Linked DNA regions of Macaca fascicularis. The protein of the gene in region 2 purifies or fractionates together with the protein of the main gene of each other region. This does not show direct contact. Links are inferred from orthologs where the notes say so. Each region holds a gene or a part of one and is shown on either strand. Other genes may lie near its edges.

Region 1 (5,766 bases), about 45 Mb from region 2:
TTAACAAAGCAGTGAACATCTTCATTCAGAAGTCATAGACTGTATTTCAAATTATTTTCTTAGGGTTCCTGCCAAGCAATAAAAAGACTAGGTAAAATATTGTGAACCTTTTCAAGGTTTTGATACATACTACCAAATTGCTCTCCAGAAAGATTTTTCCAGTTTATCCTCTCTCCAACTGTGTTTAACAATGTTTCTTTCATTACTGACCAGCACTGAATTTATCAGTTTTAAACATTGCTAATTTGATAGGCAAAAAAACTTGTGCACAGTTTAAATATGCATTTTGGGCCAGCGCGGTGGCTCACACCTGTAATCCCAGCACTTTGGGAGGCTGATCACCTGAAGTCAGGAGTTTAAGAGCAGCCTGGCCAACATGGTGAAACCCTGTCACTACTAAAAATACAAAAATTAGCCTGTAGTCCCAGCTACTGATGAGGGTGAGGCAGGAGGATCGCTTGAACCCAGGAGGCAGAGGTTGCAATGTGCCGAGATCGTACCACAGCCTGAGCAATGAGTGAGACTCCCTGTCAAAAAAGCATTTTTTGACCTGGACATTTTTCACATGTCAGCCAACTCTTGCTCAGTTCCCTCTATCAACAATATATTTGGGGTGTTGCCCACCTAATGCATTTGTTGAGTATTGCCCGATAAAAAAATAAAAATTAAAAAAAAATCTATTTGTACAATAGTTGGTCAGAGTTCAGGAACTAGGACCAAATTTTCTTACATGTCAAGTATTTAAATTCCTTCAGCATATTTAGACAGTATGTTATCTTTCAATTTGATTTATTTGTTTGGGTATGTATTTCCTGTCGTCCCTCCTCCTCCCTGCCCTCCCTCTATGGAACATAAGTGCTTCGAAGGGAAGAGTTTGTTTATTGTTGAATATTCAGGGTACAGAACACTGTCAGAAATAGAGTAGACACGGCGGGGCATGGTGGCTCACGCCTGTAATCCCAACACTTTGGGAGGATGAGGAGGGCAGATCACAAGGTCAGGAGTTCCAGACCAGCCTGACCAACATACTGAAACCCCGTCTCTACTAAAAATACAAAAAAAAAAAAAAAAATTAGCTGGGCGTGGTGGCAGGTGCCTGTAGTCCCAGCTACTTGGGAGGCTGAGGCAGGAGAATCGCTTGAACCTGGGAGGTGGAGGTTGCAGTAAGCCGAGATCGCGCCACCGCACTCCAGCCTGGGTGACAGAGTGAGACTCCGTCTCAAAACAAAAAAGACGAAGAAAGAGATAGACACTTGGCAGACCATTTGGCTAATTGTGAAGCCAATTTGCTTGGAGGAGTAGCAGTATGATGTGGTGGTTAAGGGCACAGATGAGGGTCTCTGCTTTGCTAGGCACTAACTATGTCCTTGGACAAGTGACTTAATCTCTCTCTGCCTCTGTGTTCTGTCACGTTGGATAATAACAGTTTCTGCCTTGTTAATTTGTCAAGGATTTAAATAAACTCAGTATCTGGCACATAATTAATGCTCAATAATTGTGGTAGTTGGTGTAGTTAAGGTTTGGCAAAGGGAAATCAGTTCTAGAACCCTGGCCTTTCGATTTCCAACAGTGGTATCCATTGAAATAAAATACAGTGAGAATTTGGAAAGCTTCTGTCAAAGAGGGTGATTTTATTTTATTTTATTTTATGTTATTTTATTTTATTTTATTTTTTTGAGACAGAGTCTCGCTCTGTTGCCGAGGCTGGAGTGCAGTGGTGCAATCTCAGTTCACTGCAACCGCCGCCTCCTGGGTTCAAGCGATTCTCCTGCCTCAACCTCCTGTGGAGCTGGGATTACAGGTCCCCACTACCACGCCTGGCTAATTTTAGTAGAGATGGGGTTTCACCCGATGTTGGCCAGGCTGGTCTCGAACTCCTGACCTCAAGTGATCCGCCTGCCCTGGCCTCCCAAAGTGCTGGGATTACAGGCAAGAGCCACTGCACCCAGCCTGACCCCATTCTTGTACTTACGGCTTTTAAATCTTGGGGATTTTGGACCGTCTTGGCAAATCCTAAGTATCATCTTCATTCTTCCTTGATGTTTGTGAGTATGAGATCCCTGCCCAAAACTAGGCTGTCCCCACTTGGGATTGGAGTCTGAAAACTGACTTCACTCAGCCCCAGAGTCAAGGTCAGAAGCCCCTCAACCTCGGTATTTTAAGTGCCTTCATTCTCTCTGGCCCAGAAACCAGGATGTGGACCACGCCAGAAGTGACCAGCCCCCCACCATCCCCAAGAACATTCCACACATCATCCGCAGCCATTGGAAACCAGCTGTATGTCTTTGGGGGCGGAGAGAGAGGTGCCCAGCCTGTTCAGGACACGAAGCTGCACGTGTTTGACGCAAGTATGGACTGGTGGGCACCTTGGGGCTGGTCAGGGCCATCCCAGTCTACAAATTACCTAATGTAGGAAGCAGAAGTTAAAAAAGGAAAGCCTGCTGGGCGCGGTGGCTCACACCTGTAATCCCAGCACTTTGGGAGGCCGAGGCGGGCGGATCACAAGGTCAGGAGATTGAGGCCACGGTGAAACCCCGTCTCTACTAAAAATACAAAAAATTAGCCGGGGGCGGTGGCGGGCGCCTGTAGTCCCAGCTACTTCGGAGGCTGAGGCAGGAGAATGGCAGGAACCCGGGAGGCGGAGCTTGCAGTGAGCTGAGATCGCGCCACTGCGCTCCAGCCAGGGGGACAGAGCGGGACTCCGTCTCAAAAAAAAAAGGAAAGCCTGTTTCACTTCTAGACTTCTTTGTTATATCTCTTACCTGGTATCTTTTTCCCACAGCAAAATTGGCATTTAAAAAGGGATAATGAGGCCTGGTGCCCCAGAGCTTTGGGAGGCTGAGGCAAGTGGATCACTTAAGGTCAGGAGTTTGAGAACAGCCTGGCTAACATATCTGGTCTCTACTAAAAATTAAAAAAGTATCCGGGCATGATGGCACGCACCTGTAATCCCAGTTACTGAGGAGGCTGAGGCAGGAGAATCGCTTAAACCCAGGAGGAGGAGGTTTCAGTGAGCCAAGATGGGGCCACTGCACTCAGCCTGAGTAACATACTCTGTCTCAAAAAATAAATAAATAAATAGATAAATAAATAAATAAATAAATAAATAAATAAATAAATAAAACTAAAAAGATAGGCCGGGCACGGTGGCTCACGCCTGTAATCCCAGCACTTTGGGACGCCGTGGCGGGAGGATCACCTGAGATCAGGAGTTTGAAACCAGCCTAGCCATCATGGCAAAACCCCGTCTCTACTAAAAATACAAAAACTGTCTGGGTGCAGCGGTGGGTGCCTGTAATCCCAGCTACTCGGGAGGCTGAGTCAAGAGAATCACTTGAACTCGGGAGGCGGAGATGGCAGTGAGCCAAGATCGTACCAGATCGTACCACTGGACTCCAAGTGAGCCAAGATCGTACCACTGCACTCCAGCCTGGGTGACAGAGCGAGACTCTGTCTCAAAAAAAAAAAAAAAAGAGGGCCGGGCGCGGTGGCTCAAGCCTGTAATCCCAGCACTTTGGGAGGCCGAGACGGGCGGATCACGAGGTCAGGAGATCGAGACCATCCTGGCTAACACGGTGAAACCCCGTCTCTACTAAAAAATACAAAAAACTAGCCGGGCGCGGTGGCGGGTGCCTGTAGTCCCAACTACTCGGGAGGCTGAGGCAGGAGAATGGCGTAAACCCGGGAGGCGGAGCTTGCAGTGAGCTGAGATCCGGCCACTGCACTCCAGCCTGGGTGGCAGAGCGAGACTCCATCTCAAAAAAAAAAAAAAAAAAAAAAAAAAAAAAAAAGAACAGAGATAATTCTATATGTTACATTTGCATCCTGAATTTTTCACTTAAGTATTGTTCCATGCAATCAGAAAGTCTTCACCAACATTTTGAAATTATTATTATTATATAAATATAAATATTAGAGTCAGGGTCTCACTGCATTGCCAAGGCGGGTCTCAAACTCCTAGCCTCAAGTGATCCTTCAGCTTTGGTCCCTCAAAGTGCTGGCATTATAGGCATTGAGCCACACCACCTGGCCTTCACCATCATTTTTAATAAGTGCTTAGGTTGGGCGCGGTGGCTCGTGCCTGTAATCCCAGCACTTTGGGAGGCCAAGGCAGGTGGATCACAAGGTCAGCAGTTTGAGACCAGCCTGGCCAAGCTGGTGAAACCCCTTATCTACTAAAAATACAAAAATCAGCTGGGCACGGTGGTGGGTGCCTATAATCCCAGCTACTCAGGAGGCTGAGGCAGCAGAATTGCTTGAACCCAGGAGGCGGAGGTGGGTGGATTACCTGAGGTCAGGGTTCAAGACCAGCCTGGGCAACATGGTGAAACCCTGTCTCTACTAAAAATACAAAAAATTAGCTGGATGCGGTGGCGGGCACCTGTAATCCCAGCTACCAGGGAGGCTGAGGCAGGAGAATCCCTTGAACCTGGGAGGTGGAGGTTGCAGTGAGCCCCGATCATGCCACTGCATTCTAGCCTGGGCGACAGAACAAGGCTCCATGTCAAAAAAAAAAAAAAGTGCATAATATTTCATCATGGCTGTACCAATAATTAAACCTGTTGATGGACACTTAGGCTATTTCCAATTCTTCTTTATTATAAACAATACTGTAATGAACAAGCCAGGCATGCTGACTCATGCCTATAATCCTATCAGCTCAGGAGGCTGGAGAATCGCTTGAGCCCAAGAGTTTGAGGATGGAGGGAGCCATAATTGCACCACTGGCACTCCAGCCTTTGCAATAGAGCGAGACCCTGACTCTAAAAAAAAAAAAAATATATATATATATATATATATACACACACACACACACACACACAATAAGGAACATATTTATGCAAAAACCATTTCAGGTAATTTTAAATTAAATTCCTTGGGACACCGGGGGCTCCTTGAACAACCAGCAAGCATACCATAAACAGTAATTCAAAGATAAATTGTTTGGCAGACCTTTGCTTCAACGAGTTTTTGCAGGCCAGGCGCGGTAGCGGTAACATGCCTGTAATCCTTTGGGAGGCCACTTTGGGAGGCCAAAGCAAGGGGATCACTTGAGGTCAGGAGTTCAAAACTAGCCTGGACAACATGGTGAAACCCTGTTTCTACTGAAAATACAAAAAATTATCCGGGCTTGGTGGCGGGCGCCTGTAATCCCAGCTACTTGGGAGGCTGAGGCAGGAGAATCGCCTGAACCGGGAGGCAGATGTTGCAGTGAGCCAAGATCACACCACTGCACTCCAACCTGGGTGACAGAGCAACATTCCATCTCAAAAAAAAAAAAAAAAGGTTTTGCAGTACTCCTTTAAGACTTTTCTGGTATATAGATATGATTAATTTTTCAGAATTCTATATATGTTCAGCTTTGAAGATAAAAAGGGTTGCCTGCAGTAAAATATAATAATAATCAAATTCATAACTCTCATGTATTATGTACTTTTTTTCCTTCATGCTTTAAGTATATTATCTCATTTAATTCATACCTCAGCTCTTAGAAGTAGGTATTGTCTTTTTTTTTTGAGACGAAGTCACGCTCTGTTGCCCAGCCTGGAGTGCAGTGGCGCAATCTTGGCTCACTGCAACATCCACCTCCTGGTTTCAAGCAATTCTCCTGCCTCAGCCTCCTGAGTAGCTGGGACTACAGGCACATGCCACCACGCCAGGCTAATTTTTTTTGTATTTTTAGTAGAGATGGGATTTTACTGTGTTAGTCAGGATGGTCTCAATCTCCTGACCTCATGATCTGCCCACCTCGGCCTCCCAAAGTGC
Region 2 (6,425 bases):
TGATGAAGTTGTCTGTGGCCACAGCCAGAGGCAGCTGGGGCGCTGGTCCTGGAGGTTCCGGCTCAGGGCTGCTGCCCTCACACTCCATCTTTTCTTCAGCCGAGGGGCCCACGGGGGGAGGGCCAGGACCTGGAAGTGCTGTCTCCATACGGCGGGGGAGCTCAGGGGATGAAGGTAGTGAGCGGCAGCGGCGGGCAGGTGTTCCAGGCTGGACCAGCGTCTCCGGGGTGGTCACCAAGGGCAGCTGAGTGGAGGGGAATGGTGATGGTGGCACAAGAGGCAGGACTGGCTTGCTGGGTGTGTCCAAAAGCTTGATCTTGCCACCCCTGAGGTCTTCCCGTAGTGAGAAGGGGTTGACTCGAGTCAGATTGTCCCCCCAGTTTGGGGGTGATTCTGGTGATGGGGGCAGGAAGAGGTCTGACCGGCTTCGGGAAAGCCGGGGGTCTGGCCTAGGAAGCGTGGCAGAGGGACCCCCTCTTGGAACAGAGCCTGTAGACAGAGAAGTCTGTAATCACTGTCCTCAGCATTTGATCACAGCTCCTTGAGGGCCTCACTATTCTCCAGGAGGCTGGTGGGACTAGAGCTTGAAAAAGGGAGTCCCACCTGGTTCTTTGGAAAGGGGCGATGTCATCTCCAGGCCCCTTTTACTTGTTCCCCTCCCCTCCCTCAAGCTTTAGCATTAGGAAACTGTCTTCTTTGAGATGTCCTCCCACCCTACCCCAGCCCGACTGCCAGCCTTTTCAACTAATAAATATATTTAGCCTCCTCCATGTCATCTCTGAGTTTTAAGGATGAGAAAGGCCAAAGGACTTAAGCTGGGTCAAGGTCATGCTCACTTACCCTGATTGTGTGTCAGGGGAGTCCTGGTGAGTGGGGCTGGCTCAGGCAGCTGCTCCAGGATCCATTCCAGGTGCTGGGTGATTTCGGTGAAGGGGGCACGGGTGCTGGGTTCCAGCTGATGGGTAGAGACGGGAATGGCTTCACTCAGTGCTCCGAAAGAGGGTCTCTGAGTTTCCTCCCATCACCTGGGTCCCATAGGGCAGCCATGGCAGCTTATAGATGGGGGCAGGGTGGAGCGGAAGGGCTGTGAGGCTCTTACGCTGCAGCAGTGGATGGCCAGAAGCAGGAAAGGCAGTGGACAGTCATCCCCCACTAGAGTTCGGAAGGCAGGCACATCCAGGCCAAAGTCCTGTGGGGACAGAAGGAGGGACCTCCAAGTCAGCTTTTCTTGGGTTCTCCTTCTGCTCCCCAGTCAGAACCTCAACCTCTAGGGAATCCTCCTTGGTTATGAGCTGGCTAGTCTGGAGTTCTTCGTTTGCAAACCTGGAGACATTCACCTCAGTGCGTGGTAGGTAGTCAGGGTCTGCAGGTACTCGGGCGATGAGCTCACAGAGGACAATTCCGAAGGCAAAGACATCAGCCTGGGGGTCAGAGATAACAGTGTCGTGGAAGAATTAACAGTTTTCATTTCAGAATTTTGACAGAATATAGCTGAATTTGGTTGAGGGTGGGGGATCTTGACAGTTTTCATGTGTTGGAAGGGTGCCTGTGAGGGGCAAAGGGATCTTGGGGACTCCTGAAGATCTGGTAGGGTTGTTTTGGGGATGGATGGGGCTTTATGAGAAAACCTCAAGGGTCTCGGAAGGCCTTGGGGATCTGAAGGGTTGATGTCTCACCTTCTCATCATACAGCTCACCCCGTAACACCTCTGGAGCCATCCAGTATGGGGAGCCCACCACAGCCAATGGCTCCTTTCTTGCCCCCTCCCTGCAGGGGCAGGGGCAGGGTGGTCAGAAACATCCTACTCAGGCATCTCCCCCAGGGAAAAGGGGATGAGGTGAACTCCCTTCTCTCCCCAAGGGAAACATCGCTGGGGCTCTGGGGACATCAGATAGGGGCACTCTGGGAGATTTGGGGGGAACAGGGACATTCACCTCACCTATACACAGGAATCTTTTCAGCCAGCCCGAAGTCACCCACGACAGCGGTGAAGCCTCGATCTTCCCGTCGGACTAGACAGTTCTGACACACACACACATAGTATCCCCAAGCACTCATCACCTTCTGCCCTCTGGCCTCCCAATGTATAACCCAAAGCCCTGTCACTCCAGCATAACCCCAACCCTCTCTGCTCTCCCAGTTTTTCAAGGCACTTCAATATTGCAACATCACCCAACACTCCAAACACAGGGTGCTATTCAGTCCCTCCGAGCACTCCCCTCACCCTGGTCCTCCAATATTCTCCAATGCCTCGCCACTCCAACATCCTAATATATCTGTTATCCACATTCCAATGTCCACAGGACAGTTACAACCTAATAGTCTCAAACCCTCTTTCATGCCTCCACCCACCCCACTAGCCTACCTTGGATGTAAGGTCCCGGTGAAATACACCTTTGGAGTGCAGGTACCGCAGGCCTCGGGCAATGTCCAGGGCCAGGCGGAGCCTGACAGGCCAGGATAGGGGTTCAGGGGAGCTGAGCAGCTGTTCCAAGGTCCCCCCATTCATATACTGGTGCATAGGAGGAGAATGGGAATGGATGTCAGACTTCAGTCTGTATTCTAGGTCCCCCACTTATAAGCTAGGGGACACTCCGGAGGATCACAGAGGTCAGAGGGGTAAGATTGTGCTGTAGGACCCTCCATCCATGTTCTAGGGTTGCCCTGTTCAACTCAGTAGCCATTAGCCATGTGCAACAACTTAAATAATTTAAAATTTTTAAAATTTAATCAAGTTGACCCACAAAAAAAATCTAAACAATTAACATAATTTAAATTTAACCACATGTGGCTAGTGGCTACTGTATAGGACAGCACAGATAGAGAACATTTCCATCACTGAAGAAAATTCTATTGGACAGCACTATTCTAGGGGATACAGAGAATAAGACCAGCTGAGGCCTTTTATACGTGGTTTGCCTAAAGGGAAGTTCAGGAAAGCCTCCCCTGGGAGGAGATCCTGTTGCCTCTCACTAGTCCTCCGTAGATCCACCAGGCCTGTTCACTGCCTTTATCCTTGGGGGTGAAGGGGGGGTGGGGATCCCTCCTTCCTGGTCTATCCTCACCTCTGTAAGAGCGTGCAGCTGTCCCTGGTGCACACAGACCCCCATGAACCTGCAAGAGAAGGGGGAAGATAGAAGGGTAGGCTGTTAAGGGCCTCAGCTCCTCCTCAGTTCCACGTTTCCCGCGGGATCTTTCCTTTTCTCTCCCGCCCAGCAAGCTGCCCAGAGACTGGGGCCGCTTACCTTAGGATGTTGGGGTGCCTGAGCCGGTTCATCAGTTGCACTTCTCGTAGTGTGTTGCCCCGGTTACTGGGGAGCTTGTTCATCTTCAGCACCATGACTTGCCCTGACTGTCGGTGCCGAACCTGGGGGCGGGGGCGGCCGGCGAGGGTCGGGCAGGTCGGGAGGGTCGCCCGAGTCTGGACCCTCTTCCCCGCACTCCCGGCCCCCTAGTTGCAGCCTCTGGTTGAAGGCTCGGTCCCGCCCCTCTGCCCTCTCGGCCGGTCCTACCTTGTAGACCTCAGAGAAGAAGCCGGCCCCGATCTTCTCCGCGCAGTGAAAATCGTCCACACGGGCCAGGCTAGACACGGCGCTGCGGAGAGCCCGGTAGGAGGAGGGGCGGCCGCGGCCCGGGCCTCCGCCCGCGCCCCCCGGCCCCGGGGGCCCCTCCCCCGGCACCTCTCCAGGCCCGGGCCCAGGGCCCCGCAGTGGGGGCCGTTCCCCGGCCATGGCCGGGCCCCCAGCCCGGGCCTGCCTCACATGGCAGGGTCCCCGGGGCCCGGGCAGGCCGCGCTTGCCATGGGCGCGGGCCCAGCCAGATCCTGGGCGCCCGGACTCCCGCTCCCGCCTTGAGAATGAAGATCAGCCGAAGATCCTGGACCCGCCCCCGCCGCGCCGGCTAGCTGGGCCCGGGTGGACGCCGCGCCGCTCCGCTCTGCGTAGGCCTGGGCTTGGGCCTGGACCGGGCAGTGGCGGTGACGGTGGCGGCGACGGTGGCGGCAGCGCTCCCGGGCGCCGGCGGGCTAGCTCGCCGCGGGCGGAGGCGGGCGGGCGGCGGCTGCTCCGCTTAGCCGCCGGGGCTCAGGCTCCGCGGCCTGCCGGGGGCGGGGCTGGGCCGGGCCTCCGCTTAACTCCTTCCAGCCCGGCCTCCCGGCAGCGGCCACGCCCCCTCAGGTGCGCACCCCCGCCTCCCAGCTCTCCGGCCGCGAGGCCCTGGGCCGTCCGGGTCAAATAAGCTCAGGCCTGAACTTGAATAACGAAAGGGAATTAAGGGCTGATGGTGCGCATGCGAAGCTTAGCTGCCCAGGGAGTCCCCTGTCCTCCCTGGGACTGTCCGTTGTGGGTCGGGCTCAGAAACCTGCCGGATTCTTGGGCTCCAGGGACCAACGGGGCAGAAACGTAGGCCCCTCAGGCCCAGTCGCAATCTGAGGCAGCCCAGCAACCTGTCCACCTTCCTGGCCTGCGCCGCGGCCCAGCCTGCCCATTTCCCAGGTCTCTTCGACTCCGACACCTTGAACCTCTGGCCTCCCTAACACCTTCTACCTTCACGGGAGGTTGTGATACCTCGGGGCTATAGGGAGCCTTTGGCCGGCCCATACCCAGCTTAGCCCCGACTCCTCACTTCATCCTGCCATCTCCCAATAAAGAAGAGAGTCCAGGTCCTCCGCCCTGTGACTACCCAGCCGGGATCTCCCTCTTATTACTTTGTCCAAATGACTCTAAGAGAGAAGCCACCACCTGCAGGGAAGCCCCTCCTTCCGCAAGATCCCACCCCCTCAAAGAACGCTTTCTCTCGGAGACACCTCCCTTTCGGGAGCACTTTTCCCCAGTGTGGCACTGCCACCGTCAGTGTGTGTCAGAACCCCTCAGTGCTGCACCCCCTTGCTCTGTGTTCCTCCCACGCAGTGAGACCCCACCTCCGAGTGACTCCACTAAGTCATTGTGACCCCTCCTCTCAAGGTGACTCCTCCCCTCAGTGTGACCCAGCCCTCCTCAGTGTGAGGGTTCCGCCCTCCACGTAGGAACACGGTCTGTCCCCTCAGGCCAGAGGAGGGGCTGCAACTGGCCTCTTTAAGTCGGCGCGGTGCCCGGGTGCGCATGCAGTCTGCGGACTCTGTGCACTTGCCGTACCAGATACTTCCGGTTCTGCCGCTGGCTCCGCCTCCGGCCTCGGCAAAATAGCCAATCATCGCCAGGGTTGGGTGGTGACACGCGATCCCGGCAGGCCACTCCGGGGCAAACGGTTTAAATGGGCGTCGTTGAGCCGCTTGCCCCCTAGCGGCGGAACGGTAGGCGGCGGGAGTGAAAGCTGCGGTACCGGGTGCGGAGGCCGGCTCAGAGAGCTGAGGAAGCGAGGCTGCGTCCGTCAGGAATTCTCAAGTACTGTATTAATATTTCTGTAGTAACCTTAAAAGAAAATTAATACAAGCACAGTCCGTATCGCGTGGGGTTACCGTCTTCCAATGGAGTCTGGTTACACGTTTATGAGAGTTGGAGCCAAGAAGTACTACTCAGTTGTCGAGGGCTACTGAGAAAAGAATAAAGACGGTCATAAATGATACATGATGCCTTAGAGTCAAGAGAAGGCCAGATGCTGTCTTGGTGCGCCGTACAAGGGAAGGTATTGCACAAGTTTGGAGCGAGAGGAAGGGAGACGTTCGCAATCCTTCCACAGCCGGTGGAGGCAGGCCAGCCGCAGAATTGCCCAGGGCACATGCATCCTGTTCTTTTTTCTGGAGGCGTTTGGTCTCAGCACACGCTCATTCATCATATTTAATGCTAACATCTACAACTATTTGTGAATTTGCTTTCTATTGTTGTATGACATCTGTAAACACTAGGAATTTATGCCTCATTTTGTTTAAGTAATATCATAGATCTTTTAACCGATATTGGGTTCTGGCCCTTTATCATGTTTGAGAATTACTGTAATAGTAATGGTAATTCCAAGCCAAAGAGCCAGATGCCTATTTTGGAAAGATGATTGCGGTGGTTGTATGGAGGCAGGGAGACTGATTAGGAAGGAGGCTGTGACTGTGGTTTAATCAGGAGAGGATGAGACCAGCCTGGCCAACACTGATTAGGAAGGAGGCTGTGTCTGTGGTTCAATCAGGAGAAGATGAGACCAGCCTGGCCAACATAGTGAAACCCCGTCTCTACTAAAAATACAAAAAAATTAGCGTGACGAGGTGGCGGGCACCTGTAATCCCAGCTACTTGGGAGTCTGAGGCAGGTGAATCGCCTAAACCCGGGAGGCGGAGATTGCAGTGAGCCAAGATCGCGCCATTACACTCCAGTCTAGGCGACAAGAGCGGGACTCTGTCTCAAAAAAAACCTTTTGTTGTTGTTTTTCAGACTTTTTATGATGGAAAATGTCTTAACACATACACACGCGCAGAATAGAATAATGAATGTTTATTTACG

The links.
Region 1: the proteins of TESK1 (region 2) and RABEPK purify together in Homo sapiens (affinity purification with mass spectrometry; 3 studies listed by BioGRID and IntAct, with this or other methods). This does not show direct contact. The link is inferred for Macaca fascicularis from reciprocal best matches to the Homo sapiens genes TESK1 and RABEPK.

What each region holds. Positions count from the first base shown.
Region 1 is NC_088389.1:18,837,773-18,843,538, reverse strand, and holds part of RABEPK (rab9 effector protein with kelch motifs), read left to right. Parts: intron 1-2,186; coding exon 2,187-2,348; intron 2,349-5,766. UniProt on the Homo sapiens protein: Rab9 effector required for endosome to trans-Golgi network (TGN) transport.
Region 2 is NC_088389.1:63,792,063-63,798,487, forward strand, and holds the start of TESK1 (dual specificity testis-specific protein kinase 1), read right to left. Parts: upstream 4,092-6,425; 5' UTR 3,732-4,091; coding exon 3,513-3,731; intron 3,368-3,512; coding exon 3,246-3,367; intron 3,115-3,245; coding exon 3,066-3,114; intron 2,513-3,065; coding exon 2,366-2,512; intron 2,023-2,365; coding exon 1,940-2,022; intron 1,768-1,939; coding exon 1,677-1,767; intron 1,422-1,676; coding exon 1,338-1,421; intron 1,190-1,337; coding exon 1,100-1,189; intron 956-1,099; coding exon 841-955; intron 490-840; coding exon 1-489. UniProt on the Homo sapiens protein: Dual specificity protein kinase activity catalyzing autophosphorylation and phosphorylation of exogenous substrates on both serine/threonine and tyrosine residues.